4 linked regions of the Elephas maximus indicus genome follow. The protein of the gene in region 2 purifies or fractionates together with the protein of the main gene of each other region. This does not show direct contact. Links are inferred from orthologs where the notes say so. Each region holds a gene or a part of one and is shown on either strand. Other genes may lie near its edges. The genes, in order: HNRNPC, RNPS1, CSNK2A2 and AP2A1.

The links.
Region 1: the proteins of RNPS1 (region 2) and HNRNPC purify together in Homo sapiens (co-immunoprecipitation; 3 studies listed by BioGRID and IntAct, with this or other methods). This does not show direct contact. The link is inferred for Elephas maximus indicus from reciprocal best matches to the Homo sapiens genes RNPS1 and HNRNPC.
Region 3: the proteins of RNPS1 (region 2) and CSNK2A2 purify together in Homo sapiens (co-immunoprecipitation; 3 studies listed by BioGRID and IntAct, with this or other methods). This does not show direct contact. The link is inferred for Elephas maximus indicus from reciprocal best matches to the Homo sapiens genes RNPS1 and CSNK2A2.
Region 4: the proteins of RNPS1 (region 2) and AP2A1 purify together in Homo sapiens (co-immunoprecipitation; 3 studies listed by BioGRID and IntAct, with this or other methods). This does not show direct contact. The link is inferred for Elephas maximus indicus from reciprocal best matches to the Homo sapiens genes RNPS1 and AP2A1.

What each region holds. Positions count from the first base shown.
Region 1 is NC_064828.1:31,625,240-31,632,322, reverse strand, and holds the start of HNRNPC (heterogeneous nuclear ribonucleoproteins C1/C2), read left to right. Parts: upstream 1-4,081; 5' UTR 4,082-4,230; intron 4,231-4,886; 5' UTR 4,887-4,932; intron 4,933-7,083. UniProt on the Homo sapiens protein: Binds pre-mRNA and nucleates the assembly of 40S hnRNP particles. Interacts with poly-U tracts in the 3'-UTR or 5'-UTR of mRNA and modulates the stability and the level of translation of bound mRNA molecules. Single HNRNPC tetramers bind 230-240 nucleotides.
Region 2 is NC_064830.1:59,328,258-59,335,085, reverse strand, and holds the start of RNPS1 (RNA-binding protein with serine-rich domain 1), read left to right. Parts: upstream 1-3,821; 5' UTR 3,822-4,070; coding exon of another isoform or gene 4,071-4,072; intron 4,073-6,828. UniProt on the Homo sapiens protein: Part of pre- and post-splicing multiprotein mRNP complexes. Auxiliary component of the splicing-dependent multiprotein exon junction complex (EJC) deposited at splice junction on mRNAs.
Region 3 is NC_064839.1:25,024,309-25,031,630, reverse strand, and holds the start of CSNK2A2 (casein kinase II subunit alpha'), read left to right. Parts: upstream 1-4,320; 5' UTR 4,321-4,386; coding exon 4,387-4,490; intron 4,491-5,294; coding exon 5,295-5,406; intron 5,407-7,322.
Region 4 is NC_064829.1:100,197,083-100,204,623, reverse strand, and holds the start of AP2A1 (AP-2 complex subunit alpha-1), read right to left. Parts: upstream 3,001-7,541; 5' UTR 2,842-3,000; coding exon 2,775-2,841; intron 1-2,774.

The sequences.
Region 1 (7,083 bases), on a different chromosome or scaffold from region 2:
ATAAATTTAGGATTGGAATGTAGAGCTATTACAGGATTCTGGTGTGGGAGTCACATAATAAAAATGATCCAGATGATCACCATGGCAGCAGTTCCATGGCAGCAGTTTGCAGAATCAGTATGGAAGGCAGACTAAATGTGGGACCCAAAGGTAAGGGTCTTGAAAGTGGTGTGTAATACCTTCAACATGTTTTCATGTAGAATATGGGTGCCTGTAGAAGATAGCTTGCAAACAGTCAGATTATTGTTAGCTGCCAACAAGATAGTCTGCAATTCACAGTGACCCCATGTATGACAGAACAAAATGCTGCCTGGTCCTGTGCCATCCCCACGACTGACTGCAGATGGAACTGTTGTGATCCATAGGGTTTCCATTGGCTGACTTTTCAGGGGTAGATCTCCAGGCCTTTCCTCCTAGTCTGTCCTAGTCTGTCAGCTCTGCTGAAACCTGTTCAGCATCATAGCAACACACAAGCCTCCACGGACAGATAGGTGGTGGTTGCACATGGTATGCATTGGCTGGGAGTTGAACCTAGGTTTCCTGCATGAAAGGGGAGAATTCTACCACTGAATCACCAATGCCCTCAAACAGTCAGAAAGGCCTCCAAACTACAATAAAGAAATATAAAGAGTGTCGGGTAAAATAAGACAGCTCTGTGAAATTTTAATTACGTTCTTTTTCTGAGTTCATCGGAGACTACCTCCTCACTCTTCAGTGGAAGATGCTTATGACATTGTTGGACAATGGAAGATATAGAAGAACAGAGGCAATGATGATTGTCCTGGAATGCGATAGGTGACTAGGTAGGCTCAGGGTGTGTAGGATGATGGATATTGAGGACAATATCCAGCTAACGACTCAGGTAAAAAGTAAATTAGGCATTTCATAGCCGTTGATGCTTTTCCTTTCTTCTTCTTGACTAATGGCTTGGAACTGGTAGTGGGGAGAGGGAATATGTATTATTCTGGTAATACATCTAAGCCACTTGAAGCTTTCTTTGAACAAAATTATTTCTTGAAGTAGAAACAAAAGTTCAGTTTTGTTTTGACTTCTCTTTAGACCAAGATAAGGACTTACTGCTTCTCTGTTGCCTTACCTCTTTTCTCTCCTTCCACTGCTGAAGTGTGGAACTATTCTGGAGTATAGAATAGAAAAGTATACACAGCTACCCAACAGGAGCATTTAACTTTAGAAGCTTTTAACTGTGAGGGTGTTTAGAGTCAGCACAAGGGGTCAAGGCAATTCCCTGCTCTCTACCTTACTTGCCTAGGTTTAAGAGCACCAAAAACCAAAGTCATGAATATTTGTCATCATATTTGGCAGTTAACATTCTGCCTTGTACTGTGCTATTTTTGCACTTGTTTTCTCATTCCTAGTAAATTCTAAGTTACTCGATGGAAGGACTGGCTATTAATTCTTCTTGTATCTGCCATTTCCACTCTACCTAGCATGGGGTAAACTCCTTGAAAACATGCATGCTGTCTCCTAAGCACCTCTTTTGCACCATATACAGTGCTGGTTAATAAGTAGGTCATGACAAAGATCATGCAATAAAACTGATATCTGGTAAAAAATAAAAATAGGTAGTTTTTATTAACATAAACTTTTTTTTTGAGAAAAACGAGTAATAAAACACGTTAGTGCTTTTTTGTTTGTTTGTTTACTTAAGTCAAATTACATGATTTACGTGTCATATCCTGGTGGTGTAACAGTTAAATGCTATGCCTGCTAACCAAAGGGTTAGTAGTTCGAATCCGCCAGATGCTCCTTGGAAACTCTATGGGGGCAGTTCTACTCTGTCCTATGAGTCAGTTGCTATGGGTCGGAATCGACTCTATGGCAACGGGTTGGGTTTGGTTTGGTTTGGTTTACAGGGCTCAAAGCCTCTGGGCCCCTCTGAGTGAGTGCTAGATAAGATATGTAAGAGAGAGGACAGTCTACCTGCTTGTCCTGGGAAAATAGCAATTTCCCCCTCCTTAATAAAAAAAAAATAAAAAATAATAATTTTTTTTTAATAAAAGGTAATTAAATTAATACATATTTAAACACTTTCTGTTTAAGGCATTGTGACAAGTAGTAAGCAAGGTGGACTACAGAGAGGAGTAAGAATTAAACCCTGCCATTAAAAAAGGTTACCACCCAACAAGAAGAACAGACAAGTGTAAAATTAACTACAGTACCTCAGAGTTTTAGATAAATTTCAATGTGACAATTGAACTGAGGCTTTAAGCACTTGTAGGATTTTTCCCTTGATTTTTTGTTCAAACTAGACAATTTGGAAAATATAGAAAAGCACAAGTAAAAAAAAAAATCACATGTAATTATCCCACCAGGAGAGAACCACTATTAACGTTTTAGTGTATTTTTTCTTTCATGGCTTTTATTTTTGATTTTCTAACTAGCTTAAAGTAATACGTGCATATGGTAAAACATTCAAATTGTATACAAAGGGAGATCAATGAAAAAGGTAAACAAGTTTCTTTCCCCAAACGTAACAGCTAACTTTCCTGTAAATTTCTCTGAATTCAGAATTCAAAACTAATGTATGAAACAGCATCTACACAGATATAAAAAAAAAAATTTTTTTTTATGTATCCCTTTAAAATGTATACAAATAGAATCACTCATCTAGACAGTTTTCTGTATCTTGCTTTTTCCAATAAATAACAGAAATATGATCCTTCCCTAACAGCACATACAAATCTCCCTGTTTTAGTAGTCCTACTCCATTGTGTGCCTGGCTGCTATAATTTAGTCAGGCGGCAGGCAATGGGGGGGGGGGGGTGGGCGTAAAATAGGATGAGGGTTATTAAGAGACCAGTTACTCAAACAGCCAGACCCAAAAAAAAAAAAACCAAACCCACTGCCATCGAGTCGATTCGGATTCGGACTCATGGCGACCCTATAGAACAGAGTAGAACTGCCCTATAGGGTTTCCAAGGAGCGCCTGGCGGATTTGAACTGTCAACTTCTTGGTTAGCAGCCGTAGCACTTAACCACTACACCACCAGGGTTTCCCAAAGAGACAGAGGAGTAGGCTAATTTGGTTTACACGCAGGCTATTATTAGTGAGATAAGGCTTGGGGACAGAGATGGGTGCTCTAGTATCCCAGGCCAGCATTTTACACTTCACTTGCTTGATGTATTGGAGAGAAATTAAGAAGTCAGCTGGCTTGGGAGGGTGTTTGGTGCGAAAGCCTAAGTGCTCCAACCATAAGGTTGGCGGTTGGAACCCACCTAGAGATGCCACAGAAGAAAGGCCTGGCGATCTGTTTCCAAAAGCTCAGTCTTGAAAACCCTATGGAAGGCAACTGTAACACATGGCGTCGCCATGAGTCAGGACTTGATGGCAACTGGTACTGGTATGCGTCGTCCGAACAAGGGCTTGATGGGCTGAGACGTGGAGATGTCCTTGAGGCAGCTGAAATTCCAATCTGGTACTGAGATTGCGGTTGGGAGAAACCTGCAGGCGAGCAGGACTGATTAGTTTTCTACACACTTTACCACAGCCTAGTCATCACGGCTCCTTTTCACTCTAGAAAACGCCCTTTAGCCACACACGCGAGGGAAGCTTCACTTGGTGTTTTTCTTTTTCCTAGGCCCGGGGCTACGGTAGATTTGCCGTGCAAGGCGGAGCCACCGAGGAAAGCTTGCCGTTCGCGCCAGCTACCTGACTACGCCCCTCACCCCTACTCCGCCCCCGCGCCCGGGAACTCGGAGATCTGGGCGGGCCTTTTACTGGGCGCTCTAGGAGACTGCGATAGGATACTGAGACCGTCAATCAAACTTGCCGGATACCCGGATGTGAAGCGGTGCGCGATACAAAGGCGAGTTTCCACCCGGCGGTACAGTGGCCAATAAGCATGCCTCAAGTGATAAATGACAGGAAAAGTAACCAGTTACAAAGTAGTTTCGCTCACGCATGTGGAAATTCTCTTGCTCGGTCTAACCCACTGCAAGTTGTGATTGGATAGAATTGTGAAGAGCAGTAGAAATGTCTTATTAGGAGAGGGAGCGAGACAGGGAACAGCCAATAAGAAGGTTCCTAGAAGTGAGGCGGGGGCTAGGTCTTCGCCTCCGCGGCAGAGGAGACTCGGGGGCCATTTTGTGAAGAGGCGAAGACAGAGCGGTTGCGGCCGCGTTGCCGACCTCGAGCAGCAGTCGGCTTCTTCACGTAGAATCTGGGAGTAGGAGATTGATAATCGAATCTCTTCTCCCAACCCCCTCCTGGTAAGTGGAGGCGGCGGCCGCAGTGGTGACACTGGGTTCCTCGAGGAGCGCGAGGGGGTGTGGGAAAAGAGACGAGGGAACCCTTCCTTCGGTAACCAGGCCCCCATTTATTCCATGTGTCCTGGGGGATTAGGTTTTATGCGGGAGGGAGTTTTGCAGGTCTCAGCCGCTGCGTAGATTTCACCTACAGTCCTCTAGGCCTCGACCGGCAGAGAAAATGTCATTTTTCTTTTTTGCTTTCTATGTTAACGGTTGCTTTCTTTTGATTTTCTGTGACTCTGAGGACTCCCAAGAGAGACTATGAAAGTGAAGATCGAGATGGTCATTAGTATAGTTGAAGTTTGATGTAGTGCGGATGCCTTCTGTTATCTCCATCTCTTAAATTAGAAAATTGGGTGTGTGTGGTGTGGGGGAGGGTTACCAATTAGGTGTTGTACCGTGATCGTCTCAAATTCTGGAGTGTGTTGCGGGGCATAAGATAAGAATAATGAATATAGCTGTAGATTTAATTTTTTTGCTGATTATCTTTTAATTTACTACTCCCTGTGAACACATGATGGACCTTGAAGTAGTTACTTTCGATTCTATTTACAAAAGAAAATCGAATTAACAATAACAGTAATAATTACAGCTGATTTACTACTTTTTATCTGCAGGTTACAATTGACTTGAAATACATAAGTTAGTGGAACTTTGCTTGAGGTAGGTATTACTGTTTTTCTCAGAGAAACAGGCATAAGAGCGTTGGCAGGGTCGTTAAATCAGTAGTGAAACTAGTACTTGTAAGGAATTTGATTACTAGGTCAGTCGTTTTACGTAGTTACTGGCATGCTGGTTACTAAACAGTACTATATTTGAATCTTTATAAGAACCACATTACAAAGTCTATTGGTAGGGAGTTGTAAATTCCAAACTGCACTTGAGAAAAATATTTAATTACGAGAATTGGATTTGTAATTAATGTAACTTCCTAAGATGACAAACTTAAAATTCGACTTCCAGGATATTTTGGTATTCATTTTTCTATCCATCTAAACTTTTGTGGCAAAAATGCACCATTAATACTTTTTATTAAGCAAGTATTGTAGTGCCTGCGATTTGCTAGGTGCTGAAACAGTATTTGAAAAATTTACTAAGTTTATAGAAGTGGCAGATTTTTAAGTATCCCATTCACTTACCCAGAAAATCGTTTATCTTTGTGTAAGATTGAGTTGATTTAGTCAAAATGTTTAACTCACAGAAAAACTAATGTTAAGTACACTTTTAACCAATATCGAAGGGTAAGAAATTCATCTCTCAGGAAACCTATTTGTTGGAAAGTAAAAATAGTCTTATTCCAGATAGATGTGCATTTGCAGATTCCTCACCATGTAAATACTGAAAATTCTATAATAGGGTTACATGGGATCAAAAGCATTTTGTAAAAATGCCTAAGAATTTACATTATACATGGGCTTAGACTAAAGTTTATCACTTTGCTGAACTGTCAGAAATAAGATAAGGCCAGTGATTGATTAATTTAGGAACTCTGATAAAAGTACTGTTGGCAAATGAAATCTCAGGAATTTTTAACGTTTTAGAAAGGTTATTGTTAAGAGTTGAAATTAATTGAAGGACACTTGTCTTGACTTGAGGTGTCAGAAGTAAGGGTTTCTTAGCATCTTCATGTACCAAGCTAACAAAAATTCCTTTGAGTTCATATCCTTTAGAAAGTATTTGGCCACAGAATTAAAATCTGAAACAAAATATAGATGTGTTCTCAACTAGATAGACATTAGTAACATTTTCATGTTGGGCTAGGTAGAGGAAGAGGGATGACTAAATTGTGGGTCTTTCTGGTAGTTTTGTGCTCCCTATGCCACTCTCCCAGTACCTGCTGCTATTCCTTGTATAGAAAGTGTAAACATAGCTTATAATTGTAATTAGATCTCTAGAGGGCTTGATGTAGCATTCAACCTCGTTTTGCCTAGAACATCAAGACTTTTCACAGTAGTTTTCAAATATGAGCAGGTGAGCTGGTTAAAGGAGTTTGTTGGGCCCCACCACCCGAGTTAAGTCATTCTAAGGCGGGGCCTGAGAATTTGCATTTCTAACAAGCGACAGGTGATAATGATGCTCATGGGATTGGTTGACACACTTCATTCTGAGAATTCCAGTAGAAGAAGGAATCCAAACCTCGCTGAAGTTTGACAAAGTATAATCTAGGTATGCTCTTAATTGCAAAGCATCAGGATTAGGTGCTAATGTTTTTTTTTTTTTTTTTAAGTGATAGTTTATCAATTTAACATACCATCATGGGAGATACTTTAACTTCATACTGAAAGATGTAAATGCTTTCTTTTCTTATTGCTGTTTTTTAAGCTTCTGTCTCTTGGCACATTTGCAGAGGATTTGTTTGTGAATGAGCCGTAGTCACTTAACATAACCTGAAGATTTTGAGTACTAAGTGATGCCGAATGTTTCTCCATAACTGTACTTTCCAAACACTGACTTTCCCAAATAACATTCAGATGTACATTTCCTACAGTTTGTACAGTTTTACATCACATTTCATACTTAAACTGCTCTCCCTCCCCTTTTTAAATTTACAGTTAAAATTTTAGAGTTACAGTACCCATTGCATTTTAATTAGTCATTCATACATAATCAACTCAAGGAACACTTAAAAAAGCTCAGTTTTAAGTTTTTTAGTTTCTTCAAGTTTGTGTAGGAGAATAAGACTTAATGGTTTAATATTGAGTGCAGCCAATCATTCTTATTTGAAAAGTGACCTAATTTCAAATCTTGTTTAAGCTGTTGTAATAGTTGCCTGTATATGTTTATTTTAGTATGGTATTGTATGTCATTTTCTTA
Region 2 (6,828 bases):
CCCCCACCAAGTGCCTGTGCTGGATGCAGAGACTCAGAAAAGCAAAACAAACACACTGGTTTCCTGCGGGGCGAATACCAAACCCAATCCTTAATCCAGGATTCAGGGGAGCCAAGAGTCCCAGCAAGCAGATCCAAGGGTGGCATCTGGGGTCTGGGTAGAGGCAGCAGCCAGCCCACAGCCTCCTTTTCCACCCCTCCCCCACTTGGCTTGCTCAGGACCTTGAACACAGAGGTGAGGTGATATTGTCGACCAAGAGAGGTGTCTTAGTCATCTAGTGCTGCTATAACAGAAATACCACAAGTGAATGGCTTCAACAAAGAGAAATTTATTTTCTCACAGTATAGGAGGCTAGAAGTCCGAATTCGGGGCGTCACCTCCAAGGGAAGGCTCTCTCTGTCAGCTGTGGAGGAAGGTCCTTCTTCCTGTGCTCAGTCTTACTGGGGTCTGGAAGCATCTAAGTGCAGGAATCTTGGGTTCAAAGGATGCTCTCTGCTCATGGCACTGCTTTTTTGGTGTTATGAGGTCCCCAACTCTCTGCTTGCTTCGCTTTCAGCTCTGGAGAGAGAAAAGGTGGTGTAGGCCACACCCCAGGGAAACTCCCTTTACACTGGATCAGGAATGTGACCTGGAAGGGTGTTACAATCCCACCCTAATCTTCTCTAACATAAAATTACAATCACAAAATGTAGGACAACCACAGAATACTGGGAATCATAGCCTACCCAAGGTGATACAATTTGGGGGGGACGTAATTCAATCCATAACGGGGTTCCCCCCCATCCGCTCTGAGGCACAGCTCCAGGCAAGGTTAGACCAAAGGCACAGTAGCAGCCAAACCTGACATTGCCAGGGCCAGAGACCCAAGGTCCCTAAGGTCTCAGCTCTAGAGCCCGCAGGTTGGTGGGGGCTCCACCTAAGGGCATTGCTGCCCCAGCTATTCAGTCTACCTTGGGGACCAGCACAATTTGGACCCCATGGCTCTGTGAGGGTGAAAGCCAGGGTGCTTTCCTCCCTGCAGACAGCTACTCCCTGGGGAGGTCCCTTTGCATGCAGCCTGGGCTCCACCCCCCCCCCCCCGTGCAAGGACTACAGCTCCTGGGGGTGCCCTGAAAGGGTCCCTAGAGGGAATCTGAGGTGTTCATCCCACACTGAAGTTGGCTTTCAGCTGCTCAGCCTGTCCCCCATAATGAGGCCTGCCAGCAGCCCTGGGGCATCCTCACCCTCCAGGCAGGAGCCCTACTCCCAGAACCCTGGTGCAGGTGGCCCCTGACCCTCCATGCTGGGTCACCCAGGAGCCTGGGGGCTCCTGCGGCCCCTTCCCTTCCCTCAGGTCAGCCACAGATCTGCCCGGAGAGAGGGCTGGGTCCAGCTGGAAGCCCCCATCCTCACCTGACACACCCACAGGGCATTGGCTTCGGGCAGGAGGAGGGGGCTGAAGCTGGGGGCTCCGGCCCAGGGAGCAGAGGCCCTGCCTTCCTTCCTCAACACACAGAGCTGCCCAGGCCCCACAGCTGCCCAGCAGGTGCCTCCCCGGTGAGAGAAGCTCCATGTTGACTGACAGGGAAGGCCAGGTGTGTATGTAGGCCAGCAAGGTCCAGACCAACAGCCTGAGGGTGAACTATGAGAGGTCACTGGGCCACAGAGGATGCGGGCATTGCGGGCAGGGCATTCTTTGACATGAGCACGTACTCAAACTCAGGGCTGCCCCAAATTGCGACAGGTGACCCTGCCCTGGGAAGGCCCCCTTCATGACCTTCCCCAGGACACTGGTCCAAGCCCGAAGGTGGCTTGTGGCACAGAGCTCTAGGGCCAGGGTGGCTGCCAAATGCCTTGTTCGTGCAAGCCCTGCCCTGCCCCACCCTTCCATCATAAACCCACCCAATGCCACCGAGTGGATTCCGACTCATTCTGACCCTACAGCGACCCTATAAGACAGGATAGAACTGCCCCATAGAGTTTCCAAGGAGCACCTGGTGGATCTGAACTGCCAACCCTTTGGGCAGCAGCTGTAGCACTTAACCACTACGACACCAGGGTTTCCCCCTTCCATCATACCAGGGCCAAAGATCACCCCCCTTGCCCAGGTCCCCCAAGGGCTCCCATGGCATCAGCAGGTTGGCAACAGAGACTGGAGGAGGAGAGCCAGGACTCCCAGGGGACAGGGTTCTAGAATTTTCTTTTTTTCCAAACACACTCTTGCTGTTCCTCAAAATGGCAAAAACCAGGATGTTCACTTTCTAAAGCTCAACAGCCAAAATTGCATGTGTTATAACAAAAAGCAGTGACATTTAGAAACAAACTCAAATCCATGTGTCTAGATAAACATGCTTTTAAGTTTAATACAAAATGTGTTAAATTTTATATGCATGCCAAAGTAATTGACTTTAGATAATTTTTTTAAAGATGAGAAGGGGCACTGTCAGCCCAGCTGTACTCTGTCCTCCACCCTCCTCTCACCATGCTGGGGTCGTATGGCCACGCTGACCCCAGCTAGCAGGTCAGTGCAACCCTGAGCACAGGCTCTGGGTTCCAGAATCTTCCCACAGGCGTTAATGGGTAGCTTCAGGTTTACAGAGTCCTTTCTGCCACTGCCTCCTCACAGACCAACACACTGCTGCCTGCCGGGACCACCAAGCCCACCCCATCCCCCAGGCATACCCACTCTGTTCCAAGGACCTTCAAGTTGGCCACGGCAGGGAATGCGCTGTGACATCCGTCGACGCAGAGATTAACTCGTTCCAACTGTCCCACACCAAATCTAGCACCCATCCCACCCCGAGTGGGGCTGACTCCACTCTGGCTATCGTTTGTCTTCCAACTCCTCAGACGCCCTGTGGCTAGGGGTGATGTGTTAAAGCTGCACTCAACATCCTGGATGGGGCTAGAAAGACTGCGGGAAGGGGTATCACCATCCACTGGCTGGAAAAATCACAGAACAAAGCAATGACTTGCAAACCACGTCCATACCATCCATCCGTCCATCTATCCGGGGTCACCAAGCCTCACCCTGGACTCTTTCCTGTCCTTCCCCGCCCCCCACCTAATGTTACCAAGTCATCTTGGCTCCTTCCTCCAACATAATCGGCTTGCATTTGTCTCCTGCTCTCTTCCTTGTTGCCACCAAACCTGTCAGACAACGGTCACCTCAGGCTGAGCCCACCTTCGCTCCTTCCATGAATAATTATGGAGAAACAACTGTCAGGCACAGAAAGGGGCACTGGAGACACCGAGGGGTACACAACTCCGGCGGTCCTCGCCCTCTCGGCGCCGGGTTTTCAAACTCCAGAGCCTCCGGCCCGGGCTGGCGTCCAACACTCTCCCTCTATCCTTGTCTCTGCCTCCCCTCCCTTCTTCCGAAAACGTGCCTGGCGCCCTGGCAGCTTGTTTCACGTGCTGGGTTCGCCCTTCCACTCAGGCCACCTCCTCGAAGCCCCATCCCCTTCCATCAACTTGAGAATCCTCCGCATTTCTGGCTGCACCGCCCACCTGCCTCGCGCTCCGGCCCGCAGCTACACGGTCACCCACAGAACCACGACTCTTGGATCGCAAGAACCCACGCTCCGTACAGGCCCACCCCTTCCCGCCGCCTCCGGCCTGCATGCACCCATGGCTGGCTGGCCGCGCCCCTCTAGGACCCCCAGCCACCCCCGCCTTCGACCCCCGCGGTCCCCCGCGCTCGGCGCACCCGGCCCACCGCGCAGGCGCACCGGGGGGCGGGGACTCGGCTGCGTTAACTCCTCCCACGCCGGCTCTAAAGTGTGCCCCGCGGCCTAGCCTTCCAGGCCCCAGCCAGCCGCTTACCTACCCGCTGCAGAAAAGGTGCGCAACTAGCCCTGGACCGCGCAGGAGACCCATCCAGGAGGGAAAACGAAGTAGCGCCCCCGCGGCCCTTCCCACAAACGGCCGTGGCCCTTTAACACGACGTCCGCCCGCGCCCATTGGCTGCAGTGTTCTTGCGTCATCGCTGTGCGCCCTAGGACGGCGCCTTCCCGCTCCTTAACCCTGACGACAGAGCGGCGCCAGCCTCGGCGGCTGAGGAGAGCTTGAGGCGGTGGCGTCGGCTGAAGATGTAAGTTGGCTGAATCCGACCCCATCCAAGCTTCATGGGCCTCCCGCCAGGCCCAGCGGGACACATCGTGGAGAGCTGCGCCGCTCCTCAACCCGCGATGATGGCCGCGGCCTGGCGGCGCGGGCTTTGAGGAGAAAGAGTGGGCCGGAGCGGGCGGAGTGGGAGGTGCCGAGGCCGAGGCCCGGAAGTGGTCGGGGCCGCTGGGGTTGGAAGGGCAACAGGACCTGAGAAGCCGGAATGCGGCCTTTGTTCGTGGGCCCTGCCCTGGGAGCGCCTACGGCCCAGACTCGACGGGAACGCGGCCGGGGGTCGGCGAGGCCGGCGGCTGGGGCTGGTGGGAGCGGAGCGGCTTTGTGGGCTCCCTTGAAAGGCCGAGTGACCGTCCCTCAGGATTATTTATCCACAACTTCCCTACCCTCCCTCTGTGAGCGTTAACCGAGCTCTTTGCGCTGTTCTCGGTGCGAGGCGCGGGCACTGAGACGGCCCAGCTCTCCTGCCACAGAACGCAGTTGGGCGGGTTATCCCGGAAGGGAGGCGGGAGGCGACGGAAAGGTTAAGGTCATCGGAGGAGAGACGTAGAACAGGCTGCTTCTGTCTCTATTCTAGCATGAACTGTTCCTAAAATGTATCTTTAAATGGGAAACGGTGCTCTGAAGATTTGAGCTGAAACGCCCTCGCCTCTGCTCAAGACATTACTAATTTGTTCTCTCCTCTCCCTGGCTGTTGGACGCGCACCTTTCCGGAGGACGGGGGAGGTGACCGAGGTCCTGGGCCTGTTACCTGAACTCGTGTGAACAGAGAACCTCAACCTTTGCTTTCTAGCACTCAGCCATACCCAGCAAAGCGTTCGCTCAGTCTGTGGTTCTTGATTTTTAGAGTGCTTAAGAATAAACGAGGGGTTGCGACCAATATCACAAAACAGTATGTGTATAAATTTTTGAATGAGAGGTTAACTGGAGCTGGAAATTTTCACCTAAAGCGCACTGAAAAAATTTTTAAAATCCTGTGGGGTAGTTCTACTCTGTCACATGGGGTCACCATGAGAAGAGAAAAAAGAACTCAAAAATGCAAAAGAAAGAATAAACGATGGTGCTTGTTTTTACACAGTGCGCTTCGAAGACTGGGGCTGTGCTCTCAAGATTGTTAAAACTGGGTGTGGGCGCAAGAATCTGCATGTGTGACCTACATGATGCGTTGCGATGTCCAATACAATAACCACTGGCCCCATGTGGCTCTTGGGCACTTGAAAATGTAACTAGTCCGAATTTAAAGTCTGAAAGAATGTAAAATATTTTTTTAACATTTTTTTCCTATTGATTAATGTTGAAAAGGTAATACAGGCAGTCCCCGGATTACAAACAAGTTCTGTTCCTAAGTCTGTCTTTAAGTCAATTTGTATGTAAGTCAAAACAGGTACAGTTCGTATCTAATGTCAGTCAAAGTATATAGTGTACCTTTTTGTATAAAAAACGTGAAAGAAATACTTCCAGATACACTAAAATATCTTTAATATAATATAGCAATAATAATGATGTTTTGATGCACGTCGCAGAGTAGTGCCTGTTTGTTATTATGAACCATTGTACATAGAATTTTTAATATACCGTGGTTTTTAATTTACAGTACTAGGCTTTACAAGGCTTGGTTCGTAATGTAATATGTAAGTCAGATGTTTATAACCCAGGGACTGCCTGTATAGTTTTCGAAATAAGATGCATTACCAGAAGTTAATTTTATCTGTTAATTTTTTTTTTTTTTTGAAATGTGTCCACTAGAAAAAATTGCATTATGCTTGGGACAGCGCTGCAGTATGGTCCTAAAGTGGGCTTTCCAGGGACCCCTGTTGAGCGTTCAGGAGTTACGTGTGACTTTGGAGACAAGAATATATCTAGGAAGAGAGCCTCCAGATGTGGAGAAACAGCCCATTCTTATAATAATAGCTAACATGTATTGAGGAGCCTTGGTGGCACAATGGTTAAGCACTTGGCTGCTAACCAAAAGGTTGGCAGTTTGAACCCACCAGCTGCTCCAAGGGAGAAGAGGCCTGGCAATATTCTCCTGTAAAGATTTCAGCCTAGGAAACCCTATAGGGTAGTTTTATTCTGTCCTATAGGATCTCTATCAGTCAGAATCAACTAAACTGCACACAACAACAAAACATTTATTGAGACTGGACAATTAATGCCAAGTTTTGTTGTGGATTAATTCCATGAATGCCCTTTATAATTCTTTGAGATGGGCACTATAACTCACCATATTGCAGATATTGAGGCTCAGAAATGTTAAGTGACTTATCCAAAATCACGCAGCAAAGCCTCAAATCAAACCCAGGCAGGCTGAGTCCAGACTGAATTGTACTCACTGCTTGTCCAGCAGCACTAACGTGCCTGCTGGGTGTCTCTGGTACCTTATCATTTTAAGGCAAAATTTTTTTTTAAGATTCTACAGCAAGAATCTACAGAAGGAGGAGTTCTCTTTACTCTTATTTGACTCCAAAGCCAGGTGCTTTCTTTCTTGGGTCAGAGCACTTGTTCTTGTAGCATCCCTGGTAGGGACACTCCTACACATGTGGGCACAGGGTCGGGGTGGTGTGCTGTGTCCAGACTTACTTACAGGGGGTTGAGAAAGGTAAGGCAGAAGTTGGGACTGTTATCCTGAGATCTTTGTGCCCACTTGCAGCAAATTGTCCAAAACCTCACTGGAACTATTAGAGGCAGCAGTCCCCAGGAAATAAGGGCATATAGCTAATCAGTACT
Region 3 (7,322 bases), on a different chromosome or scaffold from region 2:
ATTCTGATTGAGGGTTTTTTGTTTCTATTTGTTCAGTGTTTGGATAGAATTGGGAGAACAGGTGTTAGTATGAAATTGTTGAGCTATTTGACCCAAGATGTCCTCTTTTATTCCCTGTTGTGTAATCCTGAATTATGTGCACCCCCATACCCGACACAGAGTATTTGGGGGAAGTCAGTTCTGGTCCCCTGAGTTCCCTGCCCTGCAGGACAGCCAGCTCTCCCCCCCTACCCCCCACCCCCCACCGTCGGCAAGGGTTGCCTTGTTACCACTGCCAATTGACCATCCTAGCTCTGGCCAAACTGGCTGCACATCAGGCAGGCAGGAAGGAGAGGCAGTGTGTCTCCACCAGTTCCATGGAGCACCCAACCTACTTACTAACAAACCATAAAAACATATTCCACTTGGCCGTGGGAGGGCTGCCTGCTGATTTCAGGGTGAGTTAGTGAGCGTTAGCCAAATCCAGGAGTGTGTTGCACCAGAGTGGTGTGTGGGTGAAATCTCAGGTATCTTGGCAGGTGTGGGAGCAAGTTATGTGACATGGGTGTGGATTAGGTGGTGAGGAATGAGAGGAAGGTGCAGGGAGGAGGGGTGGGGTCAGAGGTGGGCGAGGGTGGAGGCGAGGGATGGGGCCCCAGCTGGACTGAGCATAGTAGTTAAACCTGTGGTTGGGAACCATTTTTGGGTCATGGCCTCCTTTGAGAATCTGATCGATGCTAAGGAAAGAATGCACACACAGAAGCTCATTCAGGAGCTGAAGATTAAGAACCTCTGATCTAGACTAGTTCATAGGGACTTGTCAGAAAAAAATCCTAAGACTGCGTTACCGGTATGAAAATGTTTGTGCCATCTTATTCAAGAGAAATTTAAGAATGTTTGCATGTTTGCGAATTAAATTCCAAAGTCTACTTATTTCCTAAGGAGCCCTGGTGGCACAACGGTTTAGCGATTGGCTGCTAACCTAAAAGTTAGCAGTTCAAACCCACCCAGTGGCTTCGAGGGAGAAAGACCTGGTGTTCTGCTGCCTTACAGCCAAGAAACCCTTATGGGGCAGTTCTACTGTCATATAGGGTCGCCTTGAGTTGGAATCAACTCGACGGCGACGGGTTTTTTTTTTTTTTTTTTTAATGAGTCAGAATCGACTCGACGATACCTGACAACACTTATTTAATAAATGCTCTATTTTCTTCCAGTTTTTATTTTGAAAATTTTCAAGTCTATCAACAAGTTGAAAGGCCCTGTACTCTTATCTGCACACTCACCAATTATTTTCATTTCTCCCCAGTTCTGTTCCTGCCCCCTTGTGCTTATGCCTCCACTCTCAGAGATCCATGTTTTTTTTGGAGAACCATTTGAGAGTAAGTTGCAGGTATTACGATACTTCATCCCTAAACACTTGGCATATAACACCTAAGATCAAGGGATTTGTCTGTATATGCACAATTGTCACACTCACAAAATTCAGCCTTGATACAATATTATTATGTAGCATACTCTGTCACATGGAGTCACTATGAGTCAAGATTGGCTCAACAGCATCCAATGACAGCACTATATCCTGTACTCAAATTTCCCCAGTAGTGCCAATAGTGCCTTTTTAGCTGTATTCTCCCTTCCTTCCTCCCTCCCTCCCGCCCCCTACTTTTATCCAGTATGTAATTCAGAATCAAACCTACTTCTAGTTAAGTCTCTCAGTCTCCTTCAATCAAGAATGCTACTCCAGGGTTTTTTTTTCCCCCCTGTGACATTGATGTTTTTGAAGAGTCCAGGCCAGTTGCTTTGCAGAATGTCCCTTAGTTTGGATTTGTCTGATTGTGTTCTGGTAATTAGATTTAGGTCAACATTTTTGGCAGGAGTAATACATGGGTGATTCGTGTTCCTTCTGGTACATCACACCAGAGGGTCAGTTGGTTCTATTTTTGATGATGTTAGTTTGGTCCACAGTTAAGGTAGTGACCTCCTGGTTCCCTATTGTAATTCCTAAGTAATCTATGGGGTAACATTGTATTCGTGACAACCTTCAACTGTGGCAGACACTGGGTATGCCAGCCGTGAGCATACAGACGCAGTCCTTGCTCCCCTGCTGTTTGGACAGTGAAGGAGACAGACAATAAGCTAGGAAATAAATTAATTAAATATGCAGTTTTCTGGAGGATGTGGATATAGAGAAGTATCATCTCTAGATAAAGTAGTCTTTAAGGTGAGACTTGAAGAGGAAAAAAGATCCAGTCAAGGGAAGGCAGGGGTCAAGGGGGGTAGAGGTGGCCCCTGGCCAATCTTGGAGGGTGGAAGGAACTAAAAGATGGGCGTGTGGTGGTCTTAGGGAGGAAAAACTGAGAGAAGAAAGACCCTGGGACTGGAAATAATGATACTGAGTAATTAGTGGCTATGAGTCAGAATCGACTTGACGGCAATGGGTTTGGGCTTTTTTTAAAAAAAAAATCCTAATTGAATGGTAGCAGGGGTGGTTTAGTGGTAGAATTTTTGCCTGTCATTCAGGAGACCAGGGTTTGATACCTGGCTAATGCACTCATGTGCAGCCCCCACCTGCCTGTCATTGGAAGGTTACATATTGCCATGATGCCAAACAGGTTTCAACAAAGCTTTCAGGCTAAGATGGACTAGTAAGACAGGCCTGGTGATTTACTTCTTAAAATCAGCCCAAAAAAGCCCTATGGATCACAATGGTCTAATTCAAAACAAATTCTGGGGATGGGGCAGGACTGGGCAGCATTTTGTTCTATTGTACGTGGGGCCGCCATAACTTGGAGGCCAACTTGAAGGCAGCTAACAACAATAACACCCTTACTGAGCACTTAGTATCTACCAGACACTGATCTAAATGTTTTACAAGGTTTAATTTAATTCTTCCCATGGCCCTGTAAAGTAAGTGCTCTTGTTGGCTTTGTGCTGTCAACTCTGCAACATAGTAATTGGCCCAAGGTCACAGAGCTTTTAAGTAGCAGAACTGGGATTCAAACTTGTATTGATCTGACTCCACAGTCTGTGCTCTTAACTATACCACAGAGTAGCGAGCAGTGTCTCACCTGGAAAACAGAATGTGAAAAGGGGTTGGAGTCAGAACAGCTTTGGCTGGGTGAGGAGGTTCTGTGATAGAAGACATGGGATGGCATAGCAAGACAGAAGGCCCAGAAGATCAAAGAGAAAGGAGGGTTCCGAGGTAGGAGGCAACAGAATAAAATAGGCCAAAGTTTGTTTGATCCATCCTCAGTCATCCTAAACCCCTGGCCTGTCCCTTCAGGTCAGACCCTCACACCTTTTCTTGCTCTCCCTCCTCCCAAACTAAAACAGGTATCTTCACAGTCTCAAACTATCTCCCCACAAATCACTTATTAATTACATAGGGGAAAATAGTAACTTTACAGTGGAGTAACCTGGCAGGCACCAGCTCAACCAAGTGACCAAAGTAACCATTCAGAGGGTGTTCAGGGAAAGTTCTGGAAGGGAACTGGGGGAAAAGTGTATGAGAAAGGTCTTGTGAGGAAGGCTTTGGATGAAGAGACACTAGGTCTGCGGGTGACAGTGCAGGGTCCAGAGGGGGAGTGGGTCCTCTGGGGGAGATGAAGTGACCTTGGGGTGGGGGGAAGTTCTGGGTGGGGAGAAGGAGTCACTGGGGAGAGACTTTATGGGAACAGTTTGGGTGACAGGAGGGTAAGAATAGGGTCAAGTATAGGAGGCCTTGAGGTGGGGAAACTCTGGGTGACTAGAGGGTGAGGGCTTGCGGTAAGGGTCTCCAGGACAATTTTGAAAGGGTCCGAAGGCTCCAGGGCAGCAGTCCGTGGGTGGGGAACGTCCTGGGGTAAGCGCGTCAGGACACCTGAGCATGGGGCGATTTGGACCCGGGAGGGGGGCGGCGGGTAGCCGGGGGCGGGGCCGGCGCCGCCCGGCGGGTCCCCCCGCGCTGCAGGGGGCGCTGTGAGCCCGGGCGGTGCCTGGCCCGGCGGCGGTCGCTCCTAGCGAGCGCGGCCCCTTTTCCGGGTTTCCTCCTCCTCTCCTCCTTCTTCGCCGCCGCCGCTGCCCCTTTCCCGGCCGGCGGCTGCCGCTGCTGTTGCTACCGTCGCTGCTGCCGCCACCTTGGGGCCACCAGCCGAACCGAGGCCGCTGCGGAGCGCGAGCGCCGCCCGCCCAGCCACCCCGCCGGCCGCTCCTGGGCCGGGCCGGCCAGGCCGGCGCCCCCCGCGCCCCCAGCCCGTCCGCCCCCGCGGGCCCGGCCTGGCGCGGCCGCCCGTCGCCACCGCCGCCGCGCTCCTCCTCCTCCTCCGGCGCCCCGCGGCCAGCCGCCGCCTCCGCCCGCCGCCCCGCGCCCCCTGCCGCGCCGCCGCCGCTGCTCTCTGCGCCCAGCGGCGCCCCCCGGTCCCGCCCGCCATGCCCGGCCCGGCCGCGGGCAGCAGGGCCCGGGTCTACGCCGAGGTGAACAGCCTGAGGAGCCGCGAGTACTGGGACTATGAGGCGCACGTCCCGAGCTGGGGGTAAAGCCGCCGCCGTCCCTCGCCGGCCCCCTGGCTCCCCCTCTCCCGCCCGGCTCCCTCTAGCGGGGACCGCACTCGTCCCCCGGCGATTCGCCGCTCCGCCTGCCCCTCTCCTGGGCCAGCTCTTCTCGGGTCTGGGGTGGGAGCAGCGTGCCTCCTCTCACGCATGTCCTTGTCCCCGTTTCCGACTCTCCCTTTTTTCCCACCTTTGCGAAGAACCCGTCTGCCTTCTCCAAGGAATGCTTTCTTCCTGGGGAGAAGTACAGGGTGCAGGGGCTAGAGCCTATGGAAGTGAGGGGGCAGCCCTTCCTCCTCGCACCTTTGGGTTTCTGCTGGGGTTGGAACTAAACAGCTGTCCCCCTGAGCTATTAAAATTCTCTGCTTTTTTCGTTTTTTCCTGAAATGGAGATAGATGGGTGAGAGAAAAATTTTTAAGGACGTCCAGATTCTCAAAGTAGGCGCTGTCTACCTTGAGGGTGTGAAATGAAGCAGGAGCGAGGGAGCCAGGGCTAGAGGGGCACCTTGTGGTCCTCCAGGATGGATGCTTTGGTCTCCCGCCAGACTGGCTCAGAGCGGTGCCTTCCTCCCTCATCCCCCCAAGTTATCAGGGACTAGTTAGGAGCTCTGTGCAGAGTGAAGGGAGCCAGGTCTATGTTGTGGCTTTCATTTAGGGATGTGTCGTGATGTGATGTATAGACACTTCCAAGTGCTTGATTAACGGAAGAGGCTGGATGAAGTGTATAGTGGACGTAGGCTTGGTTAACCCAAGTCCTGGCATTTATGTGTGTCTTTTGCCTTTCACAGTAATCAAGATGATTACCAACTGGTTCGAAAACTTGGTCGGGGAAAGTATAGTGAAGTATTTGAGGCCATTAACATCACCAACAATGAGAGAGTGGTTGTAAAAATTCTCAAGGTGAGTGTATTATGAGGGGCGTTAAAAATACTTTTTTTTCCACAGGTCAAAAGGATAGCTAGCCACTGCAGTCACATCCTAGAATAAGCAGTGCTGGCTCTCATTTTGCATATCATTTTTTGTCCGATGTCCCTCACTATTCCTTCCATCCCATTTTCCTGTGAATTTCCAAGAAAATATGCAGACTGATCTCAAATCTAAACATGATAGTTTAGGAACCATCCTTGATCTGAAATTTAAATTATGGGCTCCCAAAGCAAAAAATTCCAAAGGGACTCCATTTATTACGAAGTAAATGGATGTTCAGAGGAAAGAAAACCTTTTTCATGAGGCACCCATCAATCCAAGGGCAGCTGGAGCTTTTTGTCACCCTTGGTGCTCTGAGTTATTCCAGAAAGAACACTGGAAAAAATTGGAGCCACTTCAAAGATGAGTTTGAAGCTCAAGTGAAGGGAAACGCCTCAGTGGGTAGTCAAGTGTTTCTTCTACTTTAGTGGTAAAGTTTCAGGTGGGGTGGAAATGGTGAGCCAGTTATGCCGAAAAGGTTCATCGTTGTGTGTTAGCTAGTAAAAATGAAATTTGGAGCATAGGAGAGTGTATTTGTAATCACTGAGATGATAATTGGAACAAAATGGTCTTAAGATCTGGTTTAGTGGCATAAGTTTGATAACGATACACATTTTGTTATCTCATGAATGAAGACATTATCTTAATGAGCGTGAAGCATTGTCTAAACTTTCCTTTAGGTATGTGATCAGTTGTGTAGCTTTAATAATGTTTTACAGGGTGCACTGAAAAGTAACTCTTAAGATCTGTGATGGGCCCACATTATGGTCAGGTCATTTAATACCTGTACATACCATTTAGTGAAAGATTCAGAAGACTCAAGGGTAACATAAACACTTTACATACATGTAATTTCCAGTATGATCATTTTGCAAAGGTTTTGTCGAATAAGAATGTGAGATTAAAAATCTGTCTTAAGGGTAGTGGTAGCCCAGCTGTGTAGATAGTCCCTGTTGAATAGGAGGGGTCAGACTCATGGTGTCTGAAAATCACCTCTCGGCAAAGCGTTTGGCTCCATCACTCGGAACCATCCTAGTCTGGTGATGAAGGAGCAGAATAGCAGTAGAGAGAAATAGGCAGTTATTTGTGTTGTCAGAAACACTGGCGACAAGTTGATGTTAAAGGTGTGTAGTTGGACTTGCCTCTTCCCTAAATATGGGCTTCACCTAAAAAGTCACGGGTCCTTTTTTTTTTTTTTTTTTTAAAACAAATAAAATTTTCCCCAGAGGGGTCATCTGGGAAGCCATATAGTTTATTCCTTTATGTAGATAAGCCTAAATGTTTTTAATAAAAGCTGCTTCACATCTTTCTAGGAAGTAAGCAGGACATAAATTGAAATTAGAAATTTTCACATTCCACTACTATACATTCAGGAGAGTAAACTGCTGACTCTAAGGCAATTCTAGAAAAATGTCTAAACTTTTATGCAGTGACAGCACTTTTAGCATAAGCACGCAACCTCCCATGGTGTCCTTTTGAAAGAAATAGCAGTCAGGTGTAAGTGTAAATACCGGTGTGTTCATTTAGGACAGCATTACATTGCTCTTCTGTCGGCCTTCTAAAGAACTTCATAGGGCCAGTTGCTGGATTGTTTTTCCCCTGCTCTAAATATTTTCAGGATATGTTTAGGGAACCCAGTATGGAAGCTATAGGTTATTTTTACAAATGGGCAGCCTAGGCACAAAGAAACTTTTCTAACATCATTATGTTGAAATGACCCTTCACTCAAGCTCCTGTTCCCTATCTTTTCCTGTCTCTTACTGTTCTCTTTAGCACTGGTTTGTAGGGTCTTAACACTGGGCAGAGTCTTCTGGAGTAAAACTTGGGAGGCAGGCCCCCTTGATGCTCAA
Region 4 (7,541 bases), on a different chromosome or scaffold from region 2:
CTTGAATCTGCTCTGTTCCCAGCAGCCAGCGGAATTATTTTAAAACATAAATCAGATCACATCCCTGTGTTCAAAACCTTCCTGTGGTTCCTGTTTCACTCAGAGAAAGGCCAGAGTCCTCACCCATTAAAAACCTTTTACTGTTGAGTCGATCCTGACTCATAGCAACCCTACAGGACAGAGGAGAACTGCCCCATGGGGTTTCCAAGGCTGCAATCTTTATGGGAGTAGACTGCCACATCTTTCTCCCTTGGAGCAGCTAGTGAGTTCGAACCGCCAACCTTTTGGTTAGCAGCTGAGCACTTTAACCACTGCAACACCAGGGCTCCTGACAGTTCCCACAGTGGCCTACAAAGTCCTACATGATCCGCCCTATTTCCTGCTCTGCCCTCATCTCCAGACGTCTCTGCCTTGCTCACTCAGCTCCAGCCACATTGGCCTTCTTGCTCACATTTGAACACACAGTAAGCATATGGCAACCTCAGGACCTTTGCACGCACCGTATCCCCTGCCTGGAACCCTCTTTCCCCTAAAATCCACAGACTTGCTCCTTCTCTTCACTCAAGTCTCCATTCAAATGTCACCTCCTCAGTCAGGCCTTTGCTGACCCCACTCTAGATCCTAGTAACTCTCCACCTCCTTTCCCGCCTTGCTTTTCTTCGTAGAACTAAGCATCACTGGAGCCCTGGTGGCACAGGGGTTAAGAAGTCAGCTGCTAACCAAAAGGTCGGCAGTTCAAATCCCCCAGGTGCTCTTTGGAAACCCTATGGAGCAGTTCTACTCTGTCCTATAGGGTTGCTATGAGTTGCAATCGACTCAGTGGCAACAGGTTTGGGTTCTTCTTTTTTGTTTTTTCCCAGGAGCTTCTTTTCCATCTCTCTCCTGGAACGGAAGCTCCCAGAGGCAAGGATTCTTGATCACTGTTGCAGGCCCAGTGCCTAGAGTAGTGCCTGGTACACTGTAGTGGTCAAAAAAATTTGTCAAATGAATGAATAAATCTTAATGGCTATTACTAGTGCTGTTTTGCAGACAAGAAAACTGAGCTGCAAAGAGAATAAATGACTTGCCCAGGGTCTCACCTAGGCTGGTGGTATCAGGGACAGTGCACACTTACTCCTAACAACAGACCCCCTACCTAGTCTATGGCTCCTCATGTTGTTATCATCGTTAGCTGCCATCGAGTCAATTCTGGCTCATGGCGACCCCATGTGTGTAGAGCAGAACGGCCCTCCATAGGATTTTCAAGGCCATGACCTTTCATACACAGGTCACCAGGCCTTTCTTCCAAGGCACCTCTGGGTGGGCTTGAACTGCTAGCATTTTAGTTAGTACAGGAGCTCTTTCCTTTTCCATGACAACCATATCCTCATCTCTCCACCAACTGACACTCAGCAGCTGCCACTCCAACTGTTCACTGAGTACCTACTATGTGCCAGATCCTCCTACACCTATGAATTTCTAAAATAGTCAATCACTGGGCACTGAACAGGAGCCTCTCCTCAGATCCAGCACGATAACAACAGCTAACATCCATCCAGTGCCAGCAATGTGGGAGAGGCCTCACTCAACATACACTGTCACAACAACCCCCCCAGGAAGGTACTAGCAGCATTCCCACTTGGCAGATTAGGAAACATAAGAGTGAAGCCCCTCAGTCAAGGTCACAGCGCTAGGGGGTGGTGGTGCTCAGACTCAAAGCCAGTCTGGCTGACCCCAAAGCCCGTGCAGATGTAGCCTCAGCAGCTCTTGGCAGCTTCAAACACCAACACCACCGGCTCCTGGGAGTTGGGAGCTGATTTGGCGCCAGGCCTCTCATCGTCATGACAACTCTGCCTGGTGGCATTCACTGACCCCAGATTGCTGTGGTCACTGACCCCTGACCTCTCTCTGGGCCTGAATGACCCACAGTTTTCCAGATCTCTTTCCACAAACCCACAAATTCCTCAGGCCCCTTTCTTTAGCTCTGGGCTCCCTGCCCCTACATCCCTGAAGCTCCGCCCCACTCTACAACCTCCTCTCCTACCCAGGCCCCCACTCTCTGGCTCCCAAGACCTCCACACCTGCAGCTCCTCTATCCCCCTCAGCTCTGTGCTCCTTGGGACCCTCCTTTCCACTTAGTGACCCTTCTAGCCTGCTCCCCACTGCCCCGTGCCTTCCAAGCAATCCCCCACTGGGGAGCCTTCTATCCCTTATTGGAGTCTATTTATAGTGCCCCCATCTCTCCTCCTCAGTCCCCTGGGTTTTCTACCACTCCTAGGCCCTCTCTAGGCTGCTACCAAAGGGCCTGAGTGGCCTTCTAGCCCCTTCCCCTGTATGACGCCCCTCTCCCAGGCCCTCAGGCCCGGCCACGTTAGGTTCTCAGCGTGTCGGGCTTCCAGTGTGTCTCGTCCTCCAGGTCCCCTCTGGCCTCCTCCCACTCTGTCACTCCATAGGGTGCCCCACTCCGCAACTCCTTCCCTTTCTGTCTACAACAGGGATCTCTCTAACCCCATTGCTTGTTCGACCCCTTAACCTTTCTATCATTCCCAAGGGACACGTTTATGTCCCCATTCCTGGGACCTAACTAGCTGGCTCCCTTTGGCAACCCTCCGGGACCCCTCTAGCCACTCCATGTCACCTCAAGAAGGACTCTATGACATCCCAAGCCCCTCCACTGCCCCCACCCTGAAGTTCCCCCCGGGGCCTTTCTACCCTCCTAGGCCGCTCTATGACCCCCGAGCCCCTCAATTCCACTCTCCCCGCCCCTCGCCAGTGTCCCCCGGGCGCACGCTCACAGTTCCGGATATCGGAGATGAACACCGCGAGCCCCCGCATCCCATCGCCCTTGGACACGGCCGGCATGATGGCGGTGGTGTCGGCCCCAGGCCCGGCCGGACAGGGCACAACGCAGCGGGGGCTGGCAGGCTGGCAGGCGGGGACCGGGCGGAAAGGACCCCAGACAGCGCCAAGGAGCCGAGCCGGGCCGGGCTGGCGGGCAAGCAGGCGGGCTGGCAGGCCGCGGCACCGCCCCCTGGTCCCGCCCCTCGGTTCCACCGCCCTGAGCTCTCAGACACGCATTGGCTCAGGTTACTGCCCTTCAAACTTGGGCCCACCCCCATTGCATCGCTCATTGGTAGTTAGGCAAAGGCACGCCGTTACCATTGGTCCAGGCCCCCGCTATTTCCGTTCGGAGAGAAGGCGGGGACGTTGCCCGAGAGACCGGCGGGGTTCGAATACGCACTACAGAACCGCCCCCTCCGCGCTGCCCGGTCGGATTCGGATTGGATCCGGCTCCTCTCCAAAAAGGGAGGGAAGGACGTGCAGGAAAGCTGGGGAGCGGGGCTGAGGGGGCGGAACTTGCGTTAACTGGACCCAATGGAAAGACAGACCGCCCCCGCAAGCGTAGCGGATTTGCTGAACGTGTCCTACTTTCGCCCTCCATTGGGCGGTTGTGGGAGCGGATAGAGGACGATGATTGGTAGAAAAGGAAGTAGAAGTGGGGGCCATCTCAGCGGGGCTGGGATAGGTGGAGCGACGCCTGCAATTCCCTGCTGCAGAGAAGTGGTTGGGAGGGGGAAGAGGAAGCGAGGTATTTACTGCGCAAGCGTCTCTCTGATCGCCTTCTTACCCTGAGCTCTTAAACACTCTTCCAGGAAGCCTTCCTTCCCTTTCCCCTCTTCTTTTCTACAGCGGACAAGCTGTCAGTTCTTGGGCCTGTCAAGAGACGTAGACTCTCACGGGGGAGAAACGGTAATCCAAATCTAGTCCCGTTAAGCAAGGGTTAAAATTTAAAACCAGAGAGGTTGAGTGACTTGCCCTAGGGCGCACAGCTCGGCAGTCAGAAATTTAAACTCTGTTGGCTTTTAGCTACTATTCAATATGGATTGTTTATTGTTTTTGCAACCATAAAGCCTCAGGCAACCTCCATTGTAGCAGATATCAAATCAAACTTGTGGTTATCTCCACCAAAATTGGAGCTCCTAAACGCAAAAAGGATCTGGTGTTGACGAGCTCAACACTGGCTTCCTCTCGGCGCTCCAGACAGTCTCTGGTTGACTGGCTTTGGGGAAGGCAAAGCTTCCGGATCTTCAAAGCCCCAAGCTATTGTGAAATTTAGGGAAAAGGGATCTGGAGGAATCCGTTTCTGTCACATCGAGGAAGAAAACTCCATCCCACCATCCTCTTCTGATTTCCGAAGCCAAGTAGTATTCCTGGAATGAGCTTTGGAGGAGTGTCCTGAATCCTGGGAACTTCTACTCCGAATCTTGGGGGGATGGGGAGGCAACAGCGAGAAGAGTCCCCCCTCCCCCGCCCAGGTTCAATGGATCCGTCCATTTGCGTTTCCAGGAAAGGGGCATGGGAAAGTCCATTCTGGATTCCAGGGAGGCCGGGCTCTTCTTCACTCAGCTGTTTTGGTGATTGAGAGAGTACATCCCTAACAATAGGAGGGGGCATGTCTGCCTCTAAGAAACATAAGAGTAGCTTCATCTGGAGTTGACTAAGTCCTTTTTGTGGAAAATGACATTAACTGGTCCAAAACTGAAGAAGTCCATTGAAGATATAGGGAGGAAACACTTTCTCCCTAAGGATTATAGTTGTTGTTAGTTGCCATCTGACTCATGGAGACCTCAGGCACAACAGAACCAAATGCTGCTAGGTCCTGCGCTATCCCCACGATTGGTTGTGGATCAGACCCTTGTGACCCATAGGATTTTCATTAGTCTGGAACCAAAAACCAAACTCCTTGCCTGTCGTGTAGATTCTGACTCATAGCCACCCTATAGTAGTCTGGAAGTTCTATGCATCAATATGCTCAAGTCTGCACTGACAGACGGGTATTGGCTGTGCATGAGGTTCACTGGCCGGGAATCGAATCCAGAACTCCCAAATGGAAGGTGAGAATTCTACCACTGAAGCACCATTGTCCCCCCCACCGCAAGGATAACACCAAGGAGCCCTGATGGCGCAGTCATTAAGCGTTTGCCTGCTAATTTATTGGAACCCACCAGCCGCTCTGAAGGAGAAAATGTGGCAGTCTGCTTCTGTAAAGATTACAGCCTTAGAAACCCTATGGTGCAGTTCTACTCTGGCCTTTGTGGTCGCTATGAGTCTGAAGTGACCCAAAAGCAACAGGCAAGGATCTCGCCATTAAAATAAATATATTAGTAGTAGGGTTCAAACCATTCCTCTATTTGGGGGTGTGAAAGAGAGATTTCGGGGGACCCAAGAACAAAAGAAATTTGTTCCTAAGTAAGGGGGAAATCCACATTCTTCGCTGCCTGAGTCCTTAGGTGGTGCAAAAATTAACACGCTCGGCTGCTAACAGAAAGGTTGAAGGTTGCAGTCCACCCAGAAGACCTCAGAAGAAAGGCCTGGTGATCTATTTCTGAAAAATCCGCCACAAAAAACCCTATGAAATGCAGTTCTACTCTGACACACGCGAGGTCACCAGGAGTCAGAATGTACTTCAAGGCCATTGATTGGTTCCCCACCTGAACCTTCCACCTCCCCTTCCAACCCCAGCCCTTCACTCTTCCCACCAAATTCATGTAGGGCCGGATAGTTAACTCAGGGTTCTTGGTCTGGGGGTTCTAGGTCCAGTTGTGGGTAGGTGGGGCAACTCAGCTTCCCTTTAAACACCCTTACTCCACCCCATAGGCCGATTGCCATCAAGTCGATTCCAGCTCAGCAATCCTATAAGATAGAGTAGAGGTGTCCCATAGGGTTTACAAGGCTATAATCTTCACAGAATCAGACTGCCACATCTTTGTCCCATGGAGTGGCTGTTGGGTTTGAACCACTGACCTTTCAGTTAGCAGCTGAGCACTTAGCCATTGTGCCACCAGGGCTCCTTACCTCACCCCGTAGAGCCCATGAATCATCCACAGTTTAATTTTTAAGACTGAGCCTAAAGCACAGGCATTCTGAGGTGTAAATTGGACGGGGGGAGTGGCGAGGGTAGGTTGGGGAGGCCAACCCAGCCTTCTTGTGTCAAATTCTCTGTGAAGATGGACCTGTAGCCTCCACAGGGCTGCATGGGCTGACCTGGTTGAATTAGGATGGCCTTATACAATAAAAATGCAAAATAGATAATTTTCCGTTTATTTAAAAAAAGTCATCATCAAGTCAATTTTGACTCATAGCAATCCTATGGGACAGAGTAGAACTGCCCTCAAGGCTGTAATCTTTAGGGGAGCAAATCACCAGGTCTCTCTACTGTGTAGTAACTAGGGATTTGAACCACCAACCCTTTTGTTAGCAGCTGAGTGCTTAACCACTGTGCCACCAGGGCTCCTTCCATTTATGCTAGCCATGTTAAAAATAAAAAATAAAAACAAACAGGTGTATAGTGCAGTGAATTACTTAACATGGCCCTTCTAGCCACAGCCTTTGTAACTCCCACCAAATGACTGGGTTGGACTATCCACATGAGATGCTTAATGTCCACCTAGGGGATTGGATTGCTTGCTAATCATGTAAATAAGGTGCACTGCTCCCTTGTGGGGGTGGGATCATGCAAATAAGGTGTATAGAACTCTAATGAGGGCATTGGTCAGTTTTGTCATCCTGCTAGGCTTAAAGGGATACAGAGAGAGAGAGGAGGTGTAACAGGGAACACAGAGAGAGATAGCAGAAGCAGCAAAACTAGGACAGAGAGTAAGAGCTGTAACACCAGAGACAGCGAAAAGCAGTGGCAGAGAAATAGCAGCAACAGAACCAGGAAACCAGCAGGAGATGGCGCAATGGGCTTCTTGGCCCACAGAGCAGGAAAGCTGAGCGCCTTCAGGCAGGTTTTCCAGCAAAGTAGGGAGCCTCCAGGCACTTGGTGCAACTACGTTTGAAATACTACAGGGTTAGGGCTGAGTGCCTTTGAGCTGAGGCTTACTGGCAGAGTGGGGTGCTTCTGGGCACTTATTGGCAGAGCTAAAAAAGCTTTATGACACTTGCCTGAGAAGGGCAGATGACAGGCCAAGGGGCCGAGGGCAGAGAGAGACCTCCCTGTGGCATGGTTGAGAAGAGGCTGTTCTGATCAAAGAACTGTATCCCGAGTATTCCTGAACCTGAATTGTACCTGTTACTTCCCTAATGAGCCCCATAATCGTGAGTATTGTCTGTGCATTCTGTGTGGCCATTGCAATGAATTATCAAACCCTGCAGAGAAGTAGAGAGTGCTGTGGAAGGGACAGTTGGTATCAGAATTGGTAAAAGGGTTGGAGGGTGGAGGTATGTCTGACCTCTGCCTCATAGGAATCAGCCTTGGACTGTTGTTCTTGATTCTCCTTCTTGTGAAGTTAGAGGAGGTCAGATGCCTCCACCCTGCCATTTTTACAGTTGGTGTCTGTCTGAGTTATCTAGTGTTGCCATACAGAAATACCACAAGTGCATGGCTTTAACAAAGAGAGATTTATTTCCTCACAGTAAAGTAGGCTAAAAGTCCAAATTCAAGGCGTCAGCTCCAGGGGAAGGCTCTCTCTCTGTCTCTGTCAACTCTGAAGGAAGGTCCTTGTCCTCAGTCTTCTCATGGTTGAGGAGTTTCTCAGGCACAGGGACCCCGGGTCCAA